Linked DNA regions of Pelodiscus sinensis. The main gene of each other region encodes a partner of the protein of the gene in region 2 in a complex. Links are inferred from orthologs where the notes say so. Each region holds a gene or a part of one and is shown on either strand. Other genes may lie near its edges.

Region 1 (6,954 bases), on a different chromosome or scaffold from region 2:
GAAAATTTCTATTTTTAGACAAGTTTTCTAATTATTATGTTTTGGTCCAAATAGCATTGCTTATTTTGGAACCTGCTTTTCTATCCCTTGTCCTGTTGGGCTTCTGGCACTGGTAAGTACTTATTTGAATGAATTACACTCAAATTTGGCTGGTCTATGGGCTAACTAGTAATACATCAATCTAAACAATAGGTCATAATCAGTCACTGTGACTCACGTTATCGAAGAAAAGAAAATCCTGGAACAAGCACAGATTGAGGCTTTTAAATAATTCTCAATTTGCTTAGGGAATGTGTTTTCATTTTTCTTTCTTGGTGTGTGTGTTTTCAGAATGAGTTGGTGTGCTCCTTGACCTCAATAGATTGCTGCTGTTCTCTTTGCTGTGGGCAATTACAGTAATGAGAAGTGGGTGACACTTTAGAATTTCCTTTCCTATTGTACATGCATTCTAGGATCCTCAAGTTTACAACTCTGAATTTCTGCCACTTTCTCCAAGATCTTCATGTACTTTACTATTAGCATGTAACTGCAAGCAAGCAGCATAGGTGGAACTGGGAGATTGTTGCCATGGTGTAAGATGATGGGTATGTCAAAAATCCTATTAACCTGTTACATAATAAAGTCAATGTTTTTCAAACATAAAAATCTAAAGTTTGGCTTTTAAATGCATATTTAGTTGCCTAAGGCTAAGATTTGCCAGAAGTACATAAATCATTGAGGAGTACGAGTCACAAAACAAACATCTGATTGGTTTAGCCCCTTCCATTTTTAAAAAATACTTGTCTTCACTATGGGGATAAATCAACTAAAGTAATGCTACTTCAGATATGTGAATAATATATCTAGAATCAACACGGTTTAAGATTGATTTACTGCGGTGTCTTTGCTGTGCCACACTGCACTGAGACAATTTACTTGGTTCTTCTCAAAGAGGTGGAGTATAGGGCTCAACTGGAGATCACTCAGCAGTCAATTGAGCAGCTTTTCACTAGACCTGCTAAATCAATGCCTGCTGCATCACTGCCCAATGATATGCAGCTTTGAGATCTCCAGTAGTGAAAACAAGACCTTAGTTATATGGTATTTTGGAGTTAGAGCTGTATTTTTATTATGTACTAGGTGGGCACATATACACATGCATGATGATTTGGGAACCGAAAAAGCAGGAAACTGAACAGTTAAAATAAAGATGTATTTTACCTGAAGTAAAATAAAGATGTGTCAGGGCAGTGTTCTCAACCAGTGGTACGAGTACCCTTCAGGGTACTTGAGAGAAGTCTGGAGGGAGATGGGGTACTTCAACACAACTGAAATTTGGAGAAAACTGAATTTTTGTTGTAAGTTTTACAGCGCTTTATTATTTTTGTACTTTTTATACCCAAAAATGTCATCGCCTGCCCAGCTACGATTAAGTTGTTTAAACAAATGTGTTGCAATGGTACAGAAAGATTGTGTGTGTCTGAAAACGGTAGGTAGTAGGGGTACTTCTAATTTTATTTTGTTTTAAAGGGGGTACTTTAAAAAAGGTTCAGAAACACTTGTCTAGAAGACACTAAATGAATGAGAGGGAAGAATGAGTTGTAGCGGGTGTAGAAGGGAAAAGGTCAGAAAGGGCAAGACCGCAGCGAGAATCTGGAAGAAAAAAAAAAAGCAGATGAAATGGTGAGAGCAAATAAGTTTATACAAATGATTGTATATTAAGAATTCATAGGAAATCAGCCTATCTGGCTCTGATCTTATTACCAAAAGCAAGTAAATGTATAGTGAGGAAGGAGCATTCACATTAATAATCTCCCTTTTTTTCCTGCAAGTCTTCAATCTGACCAGGGAGTAGGACTTCATTATCAAGTCTCTGTAAAGTATCATGCAGCTTTATTAATGTTATCAATTATAGTAATTTGACATAATCACCCTCCTCAAATACTATTATGTGAGTTACAACAACTGTGGGATTGTAGTAACTTCTATGTAGCCTTAGTGGAGGAAAATATGGCCTTCAACTTGTAAATTCTTGATCTTCAAGAAAATCCCAAAACCAAGGAATCCCTATTAATATAGGGAAGTCAGGGAAGAAGCGAGGAGCAAAAACCTCACTCTCCGCTTATTAGCAGCCAAGGAACACTACATGTGAATGGACTGAAACCACACTGAAACCATCAGGATCTCGAAATTATATGCTGCCATTGCTACAGAGTTAACCATATTTTAAAGAGCAATAATATTTCCCACTCTTCACTTGATACTGATAATTAGTGGAAACTTGTTTTGAGATTTTACTGCCTTCCACTTGTCTCAAATTGTAGAGATTAAGTCTCTAAAATAATCCTGTCAATATATTTTTATATTTGACCCTTCACATGAAGTATATCACAACATAGGCACTGACTTTCTAACGTATTGGACAGAGACTCTGTTCAGGATTCACCACTCCACCCCTAACTCTCAGGGGTCCCAGCCTCACCCTGCCTTTTCCTGCCCCTGTTGTGCTCCTCACCCGAACACTTTCTGGCCTTGCTCCTCCCTCTTACTTCACAACACCTCCTGCTCTTACCCACACTAAAGCTCTGAATATTGCTATCACTGGTGAAACTGACCGAGTTGTAGCAAGTAGGTAAATTTTAAAATTATTTCCTTAGCATGAAGAGAAGTTCTGAATGAATTAGATAAATAACCATCTCATTGATTCACACATCACAAATCATTCAGAGATTTTTTTAAAAGTTGCCTTAAAAAATTAAAACATCAACCAAACAAACATGGTCCCTTCATGAATGTGACAAACATATAAAATGTTCACATTATCAGTTTAATAAGCCTATTCAAAAGAAAGTCTCCTTATATGACAAGTAACAGCTTATATTGTTAAAAAAATAATTTAAAACCCTCAGATTTACTTTTCAATAAATTGACATTTCTGCTAAGATTAAAATACAATATACACTTTCATTAGTTTGTTTCTACTGCACTTGGCTACATTTCTATCACTAATCTACGTTTTGTTCGTCTTTAAAGTGCTACCAGACTATTTGTTGTTTTTTAAGTTTATCCTATAGAACCAGGACAGCTGTGGCAAGAAGTAAGCCTCCCAAATCTGAAGACGACCTCTGGTGAGAAAGCTCATTTCTCACCAACAGCAATGGAGCCAATAAAAGATATTACCTCACCCACTCTGACTCGCTAACCATCCACTTTTAACGCCAACAAGTGGAGGACTCCCAGTTTCCCTTAGCTACATAAGGGCACGGGCATTGTCAAAACTTCTTCCCCAACCTCGCACTGAACGGGACCTTGCTTAGAGTTCGTGCTTTGGCTCTGCGTTTCAGGCGACAGGAGCCTGGTTACATTTGTCCCCTCGCCGCCTCTGGGTGACCGAGGTGGGGCGGAACGGCAGCGCCACCACCTCGCCTACCCCGGAGCGAAACTGGCCGCGGGGAGGCCCCCAGCCCGGGCTGGGAGCATTGGAAGAATGCGACAGCCATGTGCGGCATCCGCGGCTGGCGCAGCCTGCGAGCCGAGCCCGTTTTAACCTGGCAGACCCGTGCCCCCGCGCGCGCGTGTCGGGGGGAGGGGCAGGATGAGGCCCTGCCCCCCGGGCTGCTGACATCTTCTAAACAAACGGCAGCGGGTCGCAGCTCCCTCCCGGCAGCCTGGGAGCAGGGAACCGCCTGCCGCGGAATGAGGCCAGACGAAGCAGCCCCCGCCCCAGCGACTGGCCTCCAGCAGCGCTCGTCTCTAGTATCGTGTCACTCACTTAGCTCTGGGCCAGGAGCGGCTCGGGGCTCCCTGGGCGGGTCCTGGACACAGACAGTCCCGCCCCCCTGGCTCCTCCTGGGCTCGCAACCTTTGGTGCGCATGCGCACGTCAGCGATCTCGGCGGAGGGTGTTTCCCGGCACACCCCGCGCAGCTCCCCCGCCCTCCCCGCAGTGGGTGGGTGTGAGATGGATCGGAGACTGTAATGGCGGCTGGTGGCGGCTCGGCGCTGCTCTGACACCCGGATACTGCTCGGCGCAGCCTCCCCCTCCTCCCCGGGCCCGGCCCGCCCCCTCTTCCTCCCCCCCCGGCCAGCGCCGCTCCCCCACGCCCCTGTCCCAGCGGGACGCGGAGGAGGAGGAGGAGGGCTCCCCGCAAACAATGGACGAGCACCCCGGAGTCGGAGGCGGGATGGCGGCCGCTCCGAGACCGCAGCAACAGCCGCCGCCGCCGCAGCCAGGAGGGAATATGAACGTGTCGCCTGCAGCGGGCTGCGTGGGGGCCGGAGGGGGGCAGCAGCCCCAGGTCCCGGCGGCAGCGGCGGGCCAGGACGGGGGGGACCGCGCGGAGCTGTCCCGGCCCCAGCACTACACCATCCCGGGGATCCTGCACTACATCCAGCACGAGTGGGCCCGCTTCGAGATGGAGAGGGCGCACTGGGAGGTGGAGCGGGCCGAGCTGCAGGTAGGAGGCCGAGGGCCGGCTCCTCTGGGGCACCGGATCCAGTGACGGGGGGCTGAGCTCTAGGGGTGGGGAGCGAGTGGGCCGAGCTGTAGGTGCGGGAGCTGTGGCCAGTGGCGCTTGCCAGTCCCCGAGGCAGCCTGCGCGGGACGGTACCTGTCCGAGGTGCGCCGGGGAGGTGATGTCCATTGGCGCTGGGGCAGGCGAGGGCGCCGCTCGTCACGGCCCGAACTGAGCTCCCTTCCCCGGGGCAGCCATTTTAGTTTCCAGTATGGCGCCCGCCTGGGCTCCTGGCTCGGGAGCCAGCCCCGTTTTGTAGGCGTCCCTCCACGCGCAGCTTGCCGGTCCCGGCGGAGGCCGAAGGGCAGACCGCTGGGGCGCTGCGTCTCCCCGGGGACGCTGGGCCTCCTGGGAGAGGAGGATGCGCTCTGACAGCTACAATAACCTCCCGAACGCAGTGACTGGGGGGCTGCCAGGTCCTGCCCCTTGGGCCGGCTGATCCCACTTTTCTGACTGCGGGTCACAGGGACCAAGAGCCCCCAGGCCTGCAGAGCTCAACTCTCCCATAACCTCTGGGAGTCTAGATCAAGGTCCATGGCCTAAGTGAGGGAGCTTCCCACTCATAGAAACAAGGGAGAAGTTTGGTCTGCCAATCCTTGGAGACTCTATCAACCAAACAGTGGAGGTCAGTCAGAACTATCAACCCTTAAAAGGTGTAGTTGTGTGTTTATTATGAGCAAAAGCTAAGAAACTGAAAATAATTGTGAAAAAGGTTGCCTATATGGTGTTTGATTCCCAATCCAGTGGAGTTGGTTATAAATATTTCCTGTTGTGCGTGTCTTAGTAATAGGTTACTGGGAAAGTAAGTAATAAGTGAGTAATAGGTGCATCTGAGAAGTGGATTTTATCCACTAAAACTTAGGTGAAATAAATCTGTTTTTAAGATGCAATAGGACTCCTCGGTTTTGCAGATACAGACTAACACAGCTAGCTCTCTGAAACATATTTTGTAGTGTTTTGGTTGTAGTATACTGTCCAATTGAAAATGTTCCACTATTCACATCAATTATTGTCATTTTACTGTATTCAGCTTTTGTCATCTAGTTGCTTCTAAACTCACTTTGGGTACACTGACTTTCATTTCCTGAGGTAGGAATATTTAGGACTAGTTGTATGATATTTTCAGTAGAAGGCAGTTGCCTATGGATCTGGTTTCCTCTGGGTGTTTTTTCAGTGCTCATGTTTATATTTTTATAAAACAGTTGTTTGCAGCACTTAGCAACTAAAATTGTATCAAAACATTTGACTTCTGTAAAGGTATATTATGTTACTATAGCTTGATATCACACTGTACTGTAAATATAAAACTGGTCTAAATTTTTTAAAGATATATCGTATTGAAAATACAGTACAGGCAGTCCCTGAGTTACGCAGATCCGACTTAGGTCGGATCTGTACTTACGAATGGGGCTTTTCTCGCCCTGGAGGATGCAGGTGGCGGGACGCCCAGACGCGCCGCGGTCCCCCCGCGGCTTTGCTCCGCGTCTCCCTGGTCTGCAGACCAGGGAGACGCAGAGCAAAGCCGCGGAGGACCCGGGCAGCGGCACCTCGGCGCGTCTCGGTCCTGCTGCCCGCGTCTCCATGGTCTGCTGGGGGGGGGGCACAGCTAGTGCCCCCCCCCAGCAGACCAGGCCTTTCTCGGGGATGCTTGTGGTAGAGCAGCTGGGGCGCTGCCGGTTGGTCCTGCAGCGCCGCTCCTCGGCGCTACTGGACCAACCCGGCAGCACCTCAGCTGCTCTGCCCCAGGAGTCTCCAAGTCAGCCGCTGCTGAAACTGACCAGCGGCTGACTACAGGAAGCCCGAGGCAGAGTTTCTCTGCCCCGGGCTTCCTGAAATCAGTCGCTGATCAGTTTCAGCAGCAGCTGACTTGGGGACACCTGGGGCAGAGCAGCTGAGGTGCTGCCCGGTTGGTCCCCGCAGCGCTGAGGTGCGGCGCTGCAGAGACCTACCAGGCAGCGCCCCAGCTGCTCTGTCCCAGGCATCCAGATTCAGCTACTGCTGAAACTGATCAGTGGCTGATTCCAGGAAGCCCGGGGCAGAGAAACTGTGCCTCGGGCTTCCTGTAGTCAGCCGCTGGTCAGTTTCAGCAGCGGCTGAATCTGGACTCCAGTTCCGACTTAAGTACAAATTCGACTTAAGTACAAACCTACAGTCCCTATCTTGTACGTAACCCGGGGACTGCCTGTACTGTTAGTGAGTTGTTTGATCTCTCTAGATGTCATATTGATGAACATGACGAATTTTTTGGATATTATGTATGTGAGGCTATATCCCATGGCTTAGTGTTTTAGTCAGACCACTATCATTGGGTTAGGGCTCTCATCATTACTCAAGTTGTGAAGGCATAAACAATGAGAACAGCCCTTATTTAGCAGCCTTAACCCTGCAAACATGCAATTAAGTTGTTCCCTAGATGCCAATATGAGTACTCCACATAGATCCAAGTAACTCTTTGGACAATT
Region 2 (7,956 bases):
AATGTTGATACAAGACCCAGAAAGATAACAGGAAAATACAGATTAAAAAGGATGAAATTTCTTCCAGCCCTTCCCCCATACACCCGGTTCTTCCAGCTCTTCCTGTGGAAGTCACTGGGCCTGGTCAGCTGAGTAAAGGGTTTGTTACCCGTTGTGTTCGTGCCTGAAAATCAGTTGCTATGTTTAGAACATAGGAACGGCCATATTGGGTCAGACCAAAGGTCCATCTAGCCTAGTGTCCTGTCTGCCGACAGTGGCCAATGCCAGATGCCCCAGAGAGAATGAACAGACCAGGGAATCCTCACATGATCCGTCTCTGTCCTCCATTTCCAGCTTCTAACAACAGAGGCCAGGGACACCATTCCTACGCATCCTGGCTAATAGCCACTGATGGACCTAACTTCCATGAATTTATCTTTGCTGAACTCGGTAAAAGACTTAGCCTTCACAACATCCTCTGGCAAGGAGTTCCACAGGTAGATTGTGAAGAAATGCTTCCTTTGTTTTAAACCTGCTACCTATTAATTTCTTTTGGTGACCCCTAGTTCTTATGTTATGAGAACAGGCAAATAACTTTTCCTTATTTACTTCCTCCACACCAATCATGATTTTATAGCCCTTAGAATCTCGGCAAGGGGCATGCAGTGAAGAGCTTCTACCTCCCTCCTGCTGTGTTCATTTTGTTCTGGGATCTCTGTCTCTTTTCCTACATGCTGCTGATTAAGTTATGGGTGAGCTCCATTATGTCTCTGGAAGGGGTGATGCCTTTCCACTATCTCTGATTCCAAATCTAGCCCCAGATAACCGTGGTTTCAGATGTGTAGAAAATCCTCTGTAGCCATCTATCTTCTCCACGAGGCCTGACTTTCAAGCACTGTCCCAAATCGTTACTAAGGAGGACAGGTAATAAACTCTCTTTACCTGGGTTATTGTGGTTTTAACCTTATGTCCACAGTCGCTTTGGCACCCTCAAAAGCAGGAGTGTTGAACATCCTCCCATCACTGTCCCAAACTGCCTGGAAGTGACCAGTCACTAGAAAACATGGCTCCTTGGCTCTGCAAAGTTGACATCCCCTGATGCTCTGATTCTGTGATTCTGACAGGAAAGGAAGGGTTTAATCCCGCTGCTGCTGGGCCTTAGGAAACGGACGATGAATGTGAGTGTGATGTAGTCCCCAGCAGCGCTGCTCTAGGAAGGCCTAGGACTAGTCCCTCCCGGGAACCAGCTGAGCCAGCGATGGGCAACCGAGGCTGGTGAGTGGCCGCAAGATTGTTGTCACCAAGACGCTCTCCCAGGATCGGGTAGTTTTGCTCACTGCACTTGCGTAGCTAGAATGTGCGGGGGGTGCCGATTGCACCGTAGCAGCGCTGGGACTGGCTGCAGAGGGAGCGCCCGGCGCTCACATTCAGTGTTGTAGCAATCAGCCTGCTCCTCACTCGACACACACGGGCGGGTCACTTCAGTAATAGTGGTAGGGAAAAACCGACACTGACAAAAACCAGCAGAATCTGGCAGCCCTGCGTGTGGACAACAGTAAACAAAATGTCTCGTAGGCTGCACGTAGAGCCCTGATGTGCCGCAGGCTGCCTGCCACTATGCTAAGCTCTGGAAGCCTGGAGTGGGGGGGGGGGGGGGGGGGTTGGGGTTTGTCCTTTCTCTGAGCACTGGAAGAACATTTCATTTTGGCAATGGGCAGGCAGCCAGAGACCCCTGGAAGACTCACAAGGGCAGGATCAGGTCCCCTGTCTGGTCAGGCAAAATCCTGCAGAGCCCCAGTGAACTCATTTGGAAATGTCTGGAATGTGATACAACGATGCTGAATAGTCTCATTCCTCGGCCAGAGATGCTGTGTCACCGTGGACGCTGCTTTCTCCACTACAGACCTTCCCGTCCTGCTCCCAGAGTGCTTTGCAGCACTGTGAAGAAAGCGTGGTCTCCTTTTACAGCTGGGGAAACTGAGGCACGGAGCCACACAGTGACTTTGGCAAATAGTCTAATTCTGTTTTATATTTCTTCAGTCGCTATTACTGCTCTGTCTGTGGAAAGACACAAGGGGCAGTTCGCATCCCCACGGCGCTTGCAGTCCATTCCTAGCCAAGGAAGATGGTAGACAACTACTGGCAATAAACACTTTTAAATCCACCCGAGTAACTTGCCCCCAAATGCTCAAAATGAGTTGGAGATCTCTCGCCGCCTGCTGTTCGTTTTTAGTAAGTATTGGAGCCGGGGCAATTCCAGAACACTGGTAGAAAGCTAATGCTGTGTCGGTACTCAGGCAGAGCCGATACAGGACTCTAGATAAAGAATTAATGAACAGGAATATAATTAATGACAGTCGACATTGTTTTATGGAAAACAGGTCTTGACAAACAAACCTGATTTAATGCTTGGGGGTTTGAAATTAGATGCAACATATAAAGGCTTTTGAAAGGTGTTTGACTTAGTACCCCACGACAGTCTGATCAGAATTGGCAGTCCCCCGTAGTAAGAGAGCACATGTTAACTGGAGTAAGAAGTGGCTAACGGAGCTCACTCTGTAGCTGTCACTGGAGAATCACCCGCTCGGGTGTTTTGGGGGGGAGGTTGCAGCGATTGGTATTTGGACGGCTTCTGTGCAATATTTTCAGCAATGGGCTGGAAGCAGTGTAAAAGTGCTGCTGATAAAATCAGTGGCTGACACACAGACTGGCCAAGTAGCACAAGAGGTCAGGAATTCGTACGGAGCCAAATGCAATTTGCCTAGGTCTCAACAAAGATGCTAATTTCCTTACCCATTACAAAGATAGCTTCCCCAATTATCACCTCTAATATCATTAGCTCAGACATTAACCTCCCCACCTCATCCCCCCTCTGTTCTGAAATGTGATTTGTCCTTTTTATACGTGTTCACTTTTTTTGATTGTATCCCTTTGGTATATATGGTCAGGCCAATTTTCTTCCACAATTTGATCTGAGGAAGTGGGTCTGGCCCACGAAAGCTCATCACCTAATAAACCATCTTGTTAGTCTTTAAAGTGCTACATAGTCCTGTTTTTTGTTTCAGCTACACCAGACTAACACGGCTACATCTCTATTACTCTTGGAACAAGGCATGGAGACCATGGCGGATGGGAAAGCCGTGCCTTTGAAAAAGCTGTACAGGGGTCACAAGGGACAAGCTTCCAGGTGGGTGATGCTGTGGCAAACTGGGCTAGTGTGTTGTGGGGTCTATAACGGTGCTCAATGGGTGAGGAAAGAGATGCAAACAATGTTAATGGGGGGTGATTAGGGAAGTGGTGGGTTCTCCTTCTCTTGGTGTTTTCCAATCAAGACTGGAAGGTGTTTTTGTCAAACACAAGTGGAGGGGAAAATGTAATGGCTGGTACTGTGGAGGTGACTTCACATAACCTGGTGCTCCCCTCTGGCCTTAAAATCTAGGGGTTGCCCAAAGACACACACAACATCTCCATCAGAATGAAGGCGGGATCCAAGATCAACGGACAGTGAGAGAGGCAGATACAGCGAGCCCTACTGAGTTTCTTGGGGGGGGGGCCGGTTGAGAAGTTAAACTGAGATCCCCTCTGCTCGGTGTTTTTATCACCACCTTGGCCATTTGGACTGAAATTTCTGCCCGTCCAGTTCTGCGATGCCCTTCTGGCTTTCAGCTTCCAACCACAGGCAGCTGTTGTGACGGGACAGACTGAGTCCCTCTGGTTCACAAAGGGCATGGGAACCCGGCCTGAGGAAAAGTGCTGTGGCCACAAGGGAGAAAAAGCCTAACCCTGTGACGCCCTGTCTCCCCTTTCACACGCCCTGGCGTCTGCCTCGTTTCCACCACTGCCCTGAGAGTGAATCCTGCTCTGCGGTGGCCATGTCTCTAACTCCTGCCACATCCCACCTGCTGCCACAGGCCTTCTGTCCCTGGGGGCAGCAACCTCCCTCCTTCCCCTTAGTGCCCGCGGCCTTTTCACACCGTCCCAGCTGAGGCCCCAGCCTCTCCCATGAGAAGAGCCACACTGGGTCAGACCAAAGGTCCATCTAGCCCAGAGTCCTGTCTGCTGACAGTGGCCAATGCCAGGTGCCCCGGGGAGACGGGGGGAAGTGAACAGAACAGGGAATCATTAAGTGATCTCTCTCCTGTCACCCATTCCCATCTTCTGACAAACAGAGGCTAGAGCCACCATCCCTACGCATCCTGGTTAATAGCCATTAATGAACCTAACCTCCATGAATTTATCTAGCTCTATGTTGAACCCTCTTCAAGTCCTGGTCTTCACAACATCCTCTGGCAAGGAGTTCCACAGGTTGTGCGCTGTGCAAAAAAAAACCACCTTCCTTTTATTTGTTTTAAACCTGCTACCTATTCATTTCACTTAGAGACCCCTCATTCTGATGTGATAGGAACAAGGAACTTTGCCTTATTCACTTTCTCCACACCTGCCATGAATTTATAGACCTCTATCATCTTCCCCCTTAGTCTTCTCTTTCCTAAGCCGAAAAGTCCCAGTTTTTCTCTCTCCTCATGGCACCTGTTCCAAGCCCCTCATCATTTTCGATCCCCTTCTCTGAACCAAGGTGCCTTTTGTGAGCGGAGGCGCCCACCCACCTGCAGGCAGCATCCAAGCTGTGGGCGAACCGGGGCTTCATACAAGCTCCGCTCTGTCCCCTTTGAAGCGGCGCCCACTGCTCCTTTACCCTCCCCTGGCTGCAGCTTGTCCCCCAGCCCAGGGCCAGACCACATGGTCTAGTGGTCACCCCAGAGTGTCCTCTCCCCCCAGCCCCGCCCTGGCAGCCGCTCACGCAGCCAATCGGCGCCTAGGGGTGTGTCCCCGGCGGAGACAGCCAGCCAATGGCAGCGCGGGGGCGTGGCGAGTCCCTGGGTGGAGGGGGGGGGGGGTTCAGCCTGCACGTGCTGGCGCGGGCAGGGCAGAGGGGCGCATGGAGGAGACCGGGGCGGCCAGCAGCGCCCTGCCCGGGGACGGGGCGCCCGGCAGGGGGAGGCCGCTGCAGGCCAAGGGGCGGGAGCTGTTCAGGAGCCAGCGGAAGGAGTCCGAGGTGAGAGAGGGGGGGCACCCACCCCCCGTCCCTCTGGGGGACCCACCCACCCCCCCGGGCACTCAGCCCCCCCGGGAACCCACCCAGCCCCCCCGGGCACTCAGCCACCCCCCGTCCCTCTGGGGGACCCACCCAGCCCCCCCGGGCACTCAGCCACCCCCCGTCCCTCTGGGGGACCCACCCAGCCCACCCGGGCACTCAGCCACCCCCCGTCCCTCTGGGGGACCCACCCAGCCCACCCGCCTGCCCCCCCTGGGAACCACCCAGCCCCCCCGGGCACTCAGCCACCCCCCGTCCCTCTGGGGGACCCACCCAGCCCCCCCGGGCACTCAGCCACCCCCCCGTCCCTCTGGGGGACCCACCCAGCCCACCCGCCTGCCCCCCCTGGGAACCACCCAGCCCCCCCGGGCACTCAGCCACCCCCCGTCCCTCTGGGGGACCCACCCAGCCCCCCCGGGCACTCAGCCACCCCCCGTCCCTCTGGGGGACCCACCCAGCCCCCCCGGGCACTCAGCCACCCCCCCGTCCCTCTGGGGGACCCACCCAGGCCCCCCGCCAGCCCCGCCTGGGAACCACCCAGCCCCCCCGGGCACTCAGCCACCCCCCCGTCCCTCTGGGGGACCCCCGCAGCCTGCCCCCCTGGGGATCCACCCACCCCCCCGTCCCTCTGGGGGACCCAGCCAGCCCCCCCGAGGGCACCCAGCAGCCCCCTGGCCCCCCCCAACCCCGCCGGCGGAGGGGCCCGCCCCGTCCCGGGGAGCTGCTGGCGGGGGTCCCGCGGCTGCCCTGCGCCTCCTGCCCTTTGCTCGCAGCCGCGCGCGGGGCCCGATCGCTCCCGGGCGGGCGCCTCCCCGGCTCCGGCGACAGGTGCCTGGGGCGCTGCGGCTCCCCGCGGGGCCCGGGCAGGGGGCGGCCCGTGGGGCGGGGAGGTCGGGGCCGCTGCGGGCTCCCCTGCCCGGCTCGCTTTGCAGCCCCCGCCCGGAGGCGCGGCCGGGCCGGGACGTACAGGAGCAGCTGGGGTCGGCGCCTTATTGCAGCCTCGCTGCAGCTCCTGGCAGCCTGGTGGGGGAGGGGGGCTCAGACAGCAGAGGACTGAAGTGGGGAGGGACTTGTCAGCCCCCCCCCCCGGGAACCAGCGCTGCACCCCCAGATCGGAGGGGCGCTGGAGGAGGCAAGTTTTCTCCTCCCGCACCTAGTGGCAGGGCCATGAGCTGGCACCGGGGTGGTGGGTGCACCCTCGCTCTAGAGATGCACCGGCTGGATGACGCCTGCTGCGTAATGAGCCCCCCGGGAAGTGGAGATGGGGGGGGGGACCTGTCAGTCTTCTGCCAGGTTGGGGTGCTGCCTCTCGCCAGGCACTGGGAACCTGCCCTCCTCCGGTGACTTCATAATTGTTCATTCCGGGGTTTCTTCCTCCGAAGCGCCGGGCCGGGGCACTTGGAGCGAGGCTGCTGAGTAGATGGATGCGGGCAAGCCACAGGTTGGGCGATTGCTGCCGAGATCGTGAGCAGCATTCACACTTGGCTGCATGGGCGACTCGTGGTAGCACCCAGGAGGAGCACTGCCCCCCGCCCACAGGCCCCTGTCAAAATTCGGATTGCTAACCGGGGTGTTCCCTCATGCCCCCTCCTTGTTCCTCTGGCTGGCTCTCCCTGCACTCCCTCCCTCCCTTGCGCTTGATGGAGCCTGCTGGATGCATGGCAGCTGGAGAGACAGTCCAAGAGTTTATGCTGCTGACGGGGCACGGGGGCAGATGCGCATTGGAAGGATGCACACGCCAGCGTTGGGGCTTGCCAGACCCGCCAGCTGGAGCGTAGATTTTAAAAGGAACCGGTAGCGTGTTAACAAGAGGGGGTCACTGTGGGAAGGATTCCGGGAAGGGGGGGGCGAGGAATTGACGGCCATTGTGTGGGATCAAAGACGGGTCCCTCTTCCAGCATGGGGGAGAGCGACGAGGCGCTCGTGGGGGAAAGAGCAGGAGGGCGGAGAGGGAGGCCGGAATGGCAGAGGGCAGGGTCTCGCTGAGATTGATGAAAGGTTGATTTCACAGGTGCAGGAAGGGACCGTATGTCTAATAGTGCAGCACCAACGTCCTGTTCTTCCCCCCCCTCCCCCCGCAAAAGCCAGCCTGGGCTGGCTGAAGGTAGCGCAGTGGGGCGGGTTCTCCGGGGGCCTCACGGGTAAGTCAGCAACCTCCGGAGCCTGGGATGGAGGATTCGAGTTCCCACCAGGCTGACGCTCTTCGGGGGCTCTCTAGCTCTGATTGGGGGCATCTCGTCTCCGCGGCTTCTCTTCGAAGCCAGCACTGAGCCAGAGCGGAGCTCAGCCGCTGCTCCGATTAGATCTGGGTACGAATGTGATGGATGAGAGATGCCGGACACGCCGGGGTGATCCTGCGTAGTGAGAGCTCGGTGCGGAGAACATTGGTGGACGATAGGACGCGGTCTCTGAATAGTCTCGTTCCTTCGGCTGTAAAAACCTGCCCTATCTGTTCTCTGGCGTTACGGGTTGGAAACTTTAGTTTAACCATCGCTGCTCCTCGGGCGTGGCCCTGGCCAAAGTGCAGGTGAGGCGTCTCTTTCCAAGGCGCACCCCGGTGGCCTGGGCAGACGGTGGAATTCTGGCCTTGGGACACAACCTTTCAATCCGTTTTCGGGTCAGAAGTGCAGCGGTCGTTTTGGTTTAGCCGTCTCTGCCGGGGGGATTAACGTTTGCAGGCGCCACTACTTAGCCGAATTCCTCTAGAGCTTTAGTGCGCCGACCGTAGATGGCCAGCGCGCTGGATTTGGTCCCCGCGTTGGTTGTGTGCTGTCGAGGCTCCCTGACGGCGTGAGATCAAAAGTCAGAGCTGGAAGGGAGGGTCAGGCAGAGCTGGGGGCGGGGAGAGACATCTCCGTTCTGTTTTTGGCTCCGTTACTGAC
Region 3 (7,337 bases), on a different chromosome or scaffold from region 2:
AATACTTTAGGAAAGCGTGCTTTAAGTCTACATGTGCACAACAAGGTCTGGGTTAAACTAAAAATGCAGAAGTGAAAGGTAAAGGTAAATATTGGAAAATGGTGCTCTAAATAATGTCAGAGTCCTGTCTGGACTACACTAGGGATGTTAAATTTAGATTAATTGGCTAATTGAATAGTCAATGCAATTTGCATCAACTATTCGATTAGTCGATAAGAGCACCTCCACCTTTGAAATGTAGCAACAGCCCTAGGGCACTGCCATTTTGAACCACCCTGTTCTCTTCCTCCCTCCTTTCTGCCTCTTTCTGATAGAGGCAGCAAGAGGGGAAGGGGGGGGGGGGGGGGGGAGCGACTAGTTGACTAGCATGTTGACTGTTGGATAAGCATTTGCTTATCGGATAGTCGACTAGTTGCTCACATCCCTAGAGTAGACGGCAGCTCAAGAAAATGAATAGCAGAGCAACTTTTAAGATGAAGAAATGGACAACCAGATTATGGAATTTACACACAGAAAGTGTTCAAAATACTTATCAAAGCAATACAGGAAAATTCTCTGAAGAGAAGTCACACCAGGGATGTAACTAAAAAAACAAGGCTTAGACTAAGATTTCTCAGTCATTTTCCAAAAAAGTTCACTTGCTTCTAATTTTTAAAAATGTACCATCATCAACATTGATATAATGTGGAAATAAAGTGTATTGTCAAGTTAAAACGATATAGCAAAGTGTGGGTTTGATGTCTGTTTGCACAATAGAAAACTGATGATGCAATTACTTTGAAAGGACAAATTCAAGAGATTTCAGAAGAAGTACAGAAATGGTGCAGATCTTTAGAAATAACGGTACTAACTTTAGCCTTACAAATGTTATCATTAGCCCGGCCCACTTTGCTGAAAGTTCATTAGCCTTCACCATTTTTGGAAAGGGCACAATTATAGTGTTTGGGTAAACATTCCATAAATACTTACAAGCTGCATCTAATCACACTCAAAATATTGTTACTAGGAGTTTTGAAATCTCCCTTTACTCTACACAGAATTCTCCAATTTTCATCCTAAAAGCTGTTGTATTAATTTCTTCCTTGATTTCACAGGCATGACTGCAAAATGAAGAAAAAAAAACTCAAACAGAAATTGTATTTTCTATTTTTTAGAGTTTGGTACTTTTAGTTGTAGCTGTGCCTCCTAGGATTCTGGCACAAAGCCCTCCAGAGTTTATGGACATACACGGTCTCAGAAAAATTCATTTGCTTTTTTTATTTTTATTTAATTTGTAGAGTGGTGTGTAAAAAAGTAATTGACATTTAAACTAGGTAGAGGAAAAAAGAGGAACAGATATTACTAGAAAAATTAGATAACTAGGAATGCACAAATTTGTTTTGTTTATTTTACAAAACCCAAGCTTTTTTACAAGAACTGAGATATGCTAAAAATAGGACATCGCAGTGCAGGGCTGAAATGACTTGTCTTGAAAACATTCTGGATCATCACTCTCATTGGGAAAAGTTACAAGACTCGTTTTCAAAGGAAAATAGCATATGTCTACACAAACTGAGTGAAGACGCTATCTTCACCAACAGGGGAGGTTCTCTGTGGGTAGAGGTGCTCCACCCTCCCTAACAGATGGCAGCTAGGCAGACACAGCTGCCCTTGGCCTCCTGCTGTCTACCAGGGGCATTCGAATGGTTAACTGAAATGCTCTGGGGCGTGGCTGTGTAATACCCCTAACAGATATTAGTCACATCAACCTAATTTCCCAATGTATACAAGACTTAAGGAGTTTGATGCCCAAATGCCACTGAAATGGGCATCTGGTGCCTAATTCTTTAGAATTAGGTGAGAACCCCACCCTAAATCTGCTTGAGGACCTTAGAAAGAGGAACCATGTCAGAGGTACTTCAGTGTATCCAAAAAGCAAAAACTGTCAACAGCAGCAACAAATACACACAGAAGCCCATTTGTAAATGGGGCTCCCAGTCTGGTGCCAGCCACAAGACTCTCAACAGAAGGACCACTCTGAACAGCAGCAAACTCGCTGTAAGCTGGCGGGGCTTCACCTTCCCCATCTCTTTCCATGCACCACGCGCCCCCCGGGGAACCCTCCACACAGGCTGGCGCCAGGCAGTGTACCCGGGCCAGCTGGGCTGACATGGCCTGTCATTGCAGACACACCCATGCAGCAGGTGACATAGCAAGGCCTCTTTTAACCCTTCAAACGCACTTGGGTGCTGCGGGATGAAAGGTGGCTTCCAAACAAAGCCCCTGTAGTGCTATGGGGGGCCCAGCCACAGCCCAGGCCCCCGCTCCCCCCACCAGTGTCTGGCCCCCTCAATCCCCCCACTTGTGTCTGCCCCCCCGCCAGAGCCAGGAACTGCTCATCTCCCCCCCCAGCCCTGCTCCCCCCCAGCCACAGCCCAGGCCCCCGCTCCCCCCACCAGTGTCTGGCCCCCTCAAACCCCCCCGCTCCCCCCACCAGTGTCTGGCCCCCTCAAACCCCCCCGCTCCCCCCACCAGTGTCTGGCCCCCTCAAACCCCCCCGCTCCCCCCACCAGTGTCTGGCCCCCCCAACCCCCCCGCTCCCCCCACCAGTGTCTGGCCCCCCCAACCCCCCCGCTCCCCCCACCAGTGTCTGGCCCCCCCAACCCCCCCGCTCCCCCCACCAGTGTCTGGCCCCCTCAACCCCCCCACTTGTGTCTGCCCCCCCCCGCCAGAGCCAGGAACTGCTCATCTCCCCCCCCAGCCCTGCTCCCCCCCAGCCACAGCCCAGGCCCCCCCGCCAGAGCCAGGAATCGCTCATCTCCCCCCCGCGCGGCCCCGGCCCGGCGCAGGCCCGCTCACCTGCATGCCGGGCACCTGCACGGCCACGGGCGAGTGGGCCATGGCGGCCGGGCCCGAGCGCTGCGGGCTCCAGGCGGGGCGAGAGGCCCGCTCCCTAGCGCGCGGCCCGGTCCCGGCGGCTGCGGCGCGCGCTGCCCATGGCGGGAGGGGCTCAGGGCGCCGCGGCGGCCGGCGCCATGTTGGGCTCGGGAGGCTGCGGCGGCTCCGTCCTTCCGTCCGCTCGGCGGGGCGCGGGGTGGAGCCGGGACCGCCCACGGGGGGCGGGGCCTGGGGGATCGGGGGGGGGGGTCTCTGCAGGGCGGGGCGGGGCCTGTGGGGGGGTCTCTGCAGGGCGGGGCCTGTGGGGATCGAGGGGGGGTCTCTGCAGGGCGGGGCGGGGCCTGTGGGGGGGTCTCTGCAGGGCGGGGGGGGCGCTTGTGGGGATCGAGGGGGGTCTCTGCAGGGCAGGGGGGGAGGGGAGCCTGTGGGGATCGAGGGGGGTCTCTGCAGGGCGGGGGGGCGCTTGTGGGGATCGAGGGGGGTCTCTGCAGGGCAGGGGGGGCGCTTGTGGGGATCGAGGGGGGTCTCTGCAGGGCAGGGGGGGCGCTTGTGGGGATCGAGGGGGGTCTCTGCAGGGCAGGGGGGGCGCTTGTGGGGATCGAGGGGGGTCTCTGCAGGGCGGGGGGGCGCTTGTGGGGATCGACGGGGGGTCTCTGCAGGGCAGGGGGGGCGCTTGTGGGGATCGAGGGGGGTCTCTGCAGGGCGGGGCCTGTGGGGATCGAGGGGGGTCTCTGCAGGGCGGGGGGGGCGCTTGTGGGGATCGAGGGGGGGTCTCTGCAGGGCGGGGGGGGCGCTTGTGGGGATCGAGGGGGGTCTCTGCAGGGCGGGGGGGGAGGGGAGCCTGTGGGGATCGAGCGGGGTCTCTGCAGGGCAGGGGGGGAGGGGAGCCTGTGGGGATCGAGGGGGGTCTCTGCAGGGCGGGGGGGCGCTTGTGGGGATCGAGGGGGGTCTCTGCAGGGCAGGGGGGGCGCTTGTGGGGATCGAGGGGGGTCTCTGCAGGGCGGGGGGGCGCTTGTGGGGATCGACGGGGGGTCTCTGCAGGGCAGGGGGGGCGCTTGTGGGGATCGAGGGGGGTCTCTGCAGGGCGGGGCCTGTGGAGATCGAGGGGGGTCTCTGCAGGGCGGGGGGGGCGCTTGTGGGGATCGAGGGAGGTCTCTGCGGGGCGGGGCCTGTGGGGATCGAGGGGGGTCTCTGCAGGGCGGGGGGGGCGCTTGTGGGGATCGACGGGGGGTCTCTGCAGGGCGGTGGGGGCGCTTGTGGGGATCGACGGGGGGTCTCTGCAGGGCGGGGGGGGCGCTTGTGGGGATCGACGGGGGGTCTCTGCAGGGCGGGGGGGGAGCCTGTGGGGATCGAGGGGGGTCTCTGCAGGGCGGGGGGGCGCTTGTGGGGATCGAGGGAGGTCTCTGCAGGGCGGGGGGGCGCTTGTGGGGATCGAGGGAGGTCTCTGCAGGGCGGGGGGGGCGCTTGTGGGGATCGAGGGGGGTCTCTGCAGGGCGGGGCGGGGCCTGTGGGGATCGAGGGGGGGTCTCTGCAGGGTGGGGGGGAGCTTGTGGGGATCGAGGGGGGGTCTCTGCAGGGTGGGGGGGGCGCTTGTGGGGATCGAGGGGGTCTCTGCAGGGCGGGGGGGAGCTTGTGGGGATCGAGGGGGTCTCTGCAGGGCGGGGGGGAGCTTGTGGGGATCGAGGGGGGTCTCTGCGGGGCGGGGCCTGTGGGGATCGAGGGGGGGGTCTCTGCAGGGCAGGGGGGGAGCCTGTGGGGATGGAGGGGGGGGTCTCTGCAGGGCACGGTGGAGGAGGAGCCTGTGGGGATGGAGTTGGGGGTCGCTGCAGGGCACGGGGGAGCCTGTGGGGATAGAGTTCGGGGTCTCTGCAGGGCATGGGGGATGGACCTGGGGGTCTCTGCAGGGCAGGGGGGGAGCCTGTGGGGATGGAGGGGGGGGTCTCTGCACGGCAGGGGGGGAGCCTGTGGTGTAGGTGGAGCTTGGTCCTGCCTTGAGGGCGGGGGGCTGGACTCGATGCCCTTTTGAGGTCCCTTCCAGTCCTATTATTCTATGATTCTATGATGGAGGGGGGGGGTCTCTGCAGGGTGGGGGGGAGCCTGTGGGGATGGAGGGGGGGTCTCTGCAGGGCACGGTGGAGGGGGAGCCTGTGGGGATGGAGGGGGGGTCTCTGCAGGGCACGGTGGAGGGGGAGCCTGTGGGGATGGAGGGGGGGTCTCTGCAGGGTGGGGGGGAGCCTGTGGGGATGGAGGGGGGGTCTCTGCAGGGCACGGTGGAGGGGGAGCCTGTGGGGATGGAGTTGGGGGTCGCTGCAGGGCACGGGGGAGCCTGTGGGGATAGAGTTCGGGATCTCTGCAGGGCACGGGGGATGGACCTGGGGGTCTCTGCAGGGCACGGGGGAGCCTGTGGGGATAGAGTTCGGGATCTCTGCAGGGCACGGGGGATGGACCTGGGGGTCTCTGCAGGGCACGGGGGAGCCTGTGGGGATAGAGTTCGGGGTCTCTGCAGGGCACGGGGGATGGACCTGGGGGTCTCTGCAGGGCACGGGGGATGGAGCCTGCAGTGTGGAGCTGGGGATCGCTGGGGCGGAACAGGAGATGGATCCCCCGGCTCTCAATGTGCCCTCCCCCCATACTCCTTACTGCCGGGGGCCTCAGAACAGGGCCCAGACCTTCACACCCACCTGGTGCCCCTCTGCCAAAGTGGGCCTCCCCCTGCAGGAACCAAGTCTGTGGGCCCTTTGCTTGGCAGGCCCATGGATGAGGGCCTGTGTTCCTTCATACTTGACCAAGGCTCAGGGGTTCCTTGGCCAGGCCCATGGATGAGGCTCGGCTCAGCTTCCCTCCCCAAGCTCACCTGATGGGGGTCACTGCAGTGTGCTAGCACCGCTCTCCCATGCTGCTTGCCAAGCATAATTTTTTGGGGCCTAGTACAAACTTATAACACAGGCCTCCCTCCCATATGTATGACAATTTGCAGCCTGGACCTCTGGGCCTCAGTGAAGTGTACCCTTCTCCCCTCCCCACCATGTGGGGGCCCCGGGCGGCAACCCACTTGTCCTTCCCCAAGGATGCTGTTTATCAACAAGGAGGACACTGTGTTCTGCTCTTCCGTGGCATTTGCTCTCTTAATGAAGGAGGAGATGTCTGCAATAGCTATTGGAGATCCTCTTGAGACAGAAATTGCTTAGGAATTGTGGCCTTTTGTACAGGCATCACTGTATTCAACTCAGTTTGGTGGGTTTATAATTTGACATCCTGGAAACATCTAACGAAGCAAGTCTTATGTTTTGATTTGTTCATCTAGTAGTCCACAGTTCTTCCATAGCCTCCTTTGAGGAGGATACAAAGTTGGCAACGTCCTCTCTTTTCACCGGCTGCATTGCTGGTATGGGGAAGCCACTGTTCACCTTCTTGTGGCTCAGTTTCTCCACTTGACCAGTTGCCTCCAACATAACGATCACCCCCAGCTTTCGTTCTTCTGTTCGAACTTAACACTTGGCTGATCTCCACTGTGTCCCCCTTGGTAAACACCCAGACACAGTGATGTTTTTTCTTTTTACAGTTATTCCATCCCCTAAGATATGAGCCTGCTCCTGGGTTTAGTCTTCCTTAGCGATGATTTTCCCCTCTTGAGGATGATTTTTCAATTGTCCAGCTCCAGTTATTTCTCTTAGCTGCCACAGAACCTCCTGACCTTACTTTACCTCCCTTCTGTGATGGGCAATTCTGCTTCATGTTTGAAAGGAAGGAAAAATAGTATTTCAGGTGACTTTCCTCTGTACTTAGTACCCTGCACTCATGTATAGTTATGGGTAAAACCTATGACAGTGCATATCTACAGTAGGTCTAAAATGCCTTTTTATCCAAAATGGTTCTTTCTTGTGATGTATCAGTTGCTCTGAAAATTTACTCCATTGTCTGACACCTCCATAACCCAAATTTGCTCAGATCTAGAGAACTGAGCTCATATGAATTAGGCAGTACTTTTTGGCTTTGTCTACACTGCAGAGTTTTTGCGCAAGAAGCTTTTTGCAGAAGAGATCTTCTGCAAAAACTTCCTGTGCAAAAGCACGTCCACACCTCAAAAGCACATCGCAAAGCGATGTGCCGTTGCGCAAGAGAGCATCCACACTGTAGGAACACTCTTACGCAAGAAATCTCTGATGGCCATTCACAAGAACTCTTGTGCAAAAAGGAGTTATTCCTCGTAGAAAGAGGTATACCTACACCACAAAAAGCCCTCTGTTCTGCCCTTCTGCTGTACATTTTCTTGCACAAAAATGCACTTGAGGTATGGATGCTCCACAGGTTTTTGTGCAAAATTAACTGTAGCCAGCATGCAGGCCCTTGCTCTTGGATAGTACCCTTTCTCCTCCTCAAACGTTCCAATGGGGCCCATTATCATTCTAGAAAGCCCTTACACAACTGGAGAGAGAGAGTTACCTGCTGGCCCTACTGAA

What was found.
Region 1: STRIP2 (region 2) and STRN3 share a complex: the UniProt entries of both Homo sapiens proteins name them as parts of the core of STRIPAK complex. The link is inferred for Pelodiscus sinensis from reciprocal best matches to the Homo sapiens genes STRIP2 and STRN3.
Region 3: STRIP2 (region 2) and STK26 share a complex: the UniProt entries of both Homo sapiens proteins name them as parts of the core of STRIPAK complex. The link is inferred for Pelodiscus sinensis from reciprocal best matches to the Homo sapiens genes STRIP2 and STK26.

Annotation. Positions count from the first base shown.
Region 1 is NC_134714.1:51,159,671-51,166,624, forward strand, and holds the start of STRN3 (striatin-3), read left to right. Parts: upstream 1-3,941; 5' UTR 3,942-4,132; coding exon 4,133-4,435; intron 4,436-4,588; exon of another isoform or gene 4,589-5,117; intron 5,118-6,954. UniProt on the Homo sapiens protein: Calmodulin-binding scaffolding protein which is the center of the striatin-interacting phosphatase and kinase (STRIPAK) complexes.
Region 2 is NC_134711.1:4,396,633-4,404,588, reverse strand, and holds the start of STRIP2 (striatin-interacting protein 2), read left to right. Parts: upstream 1-4,879; 5' UTR 4,880-4,918; coding exon 4,919-5,035; intron 5,036-7,956. UniProt on the Homo sapiens protein: Plays a role in the regulation of cell morphology and cytoskeletal organization. Required in the control of cell shape. Calmodulin-binding scaffolding protein which is the center of the striatin-interacting phosphatase and kinase (STRIPAK) complexes.
Region 3 is NC_134723.1:45,941,817-45,949,153, forward strand, and holds the start of STK26 (serine/threonine-protein kinase 26), read right to left. Parts: upstream 3,014-7,337; 5' UTR 2,881-3,013; coding exon 2,839-2,880; intron 994-2,838; exon of another isoform or gene 979-993; coding exon of another isoform or gene 970-978; intron 1-969. UniProt on the Homo sapiens protein: Serine/threonine-protein kinase that acts as a mediator of cell growth. Modulates apoptosis. In association with STK24 negatively regulates Golgi reorientation in polarized cell migration upon RHO activation.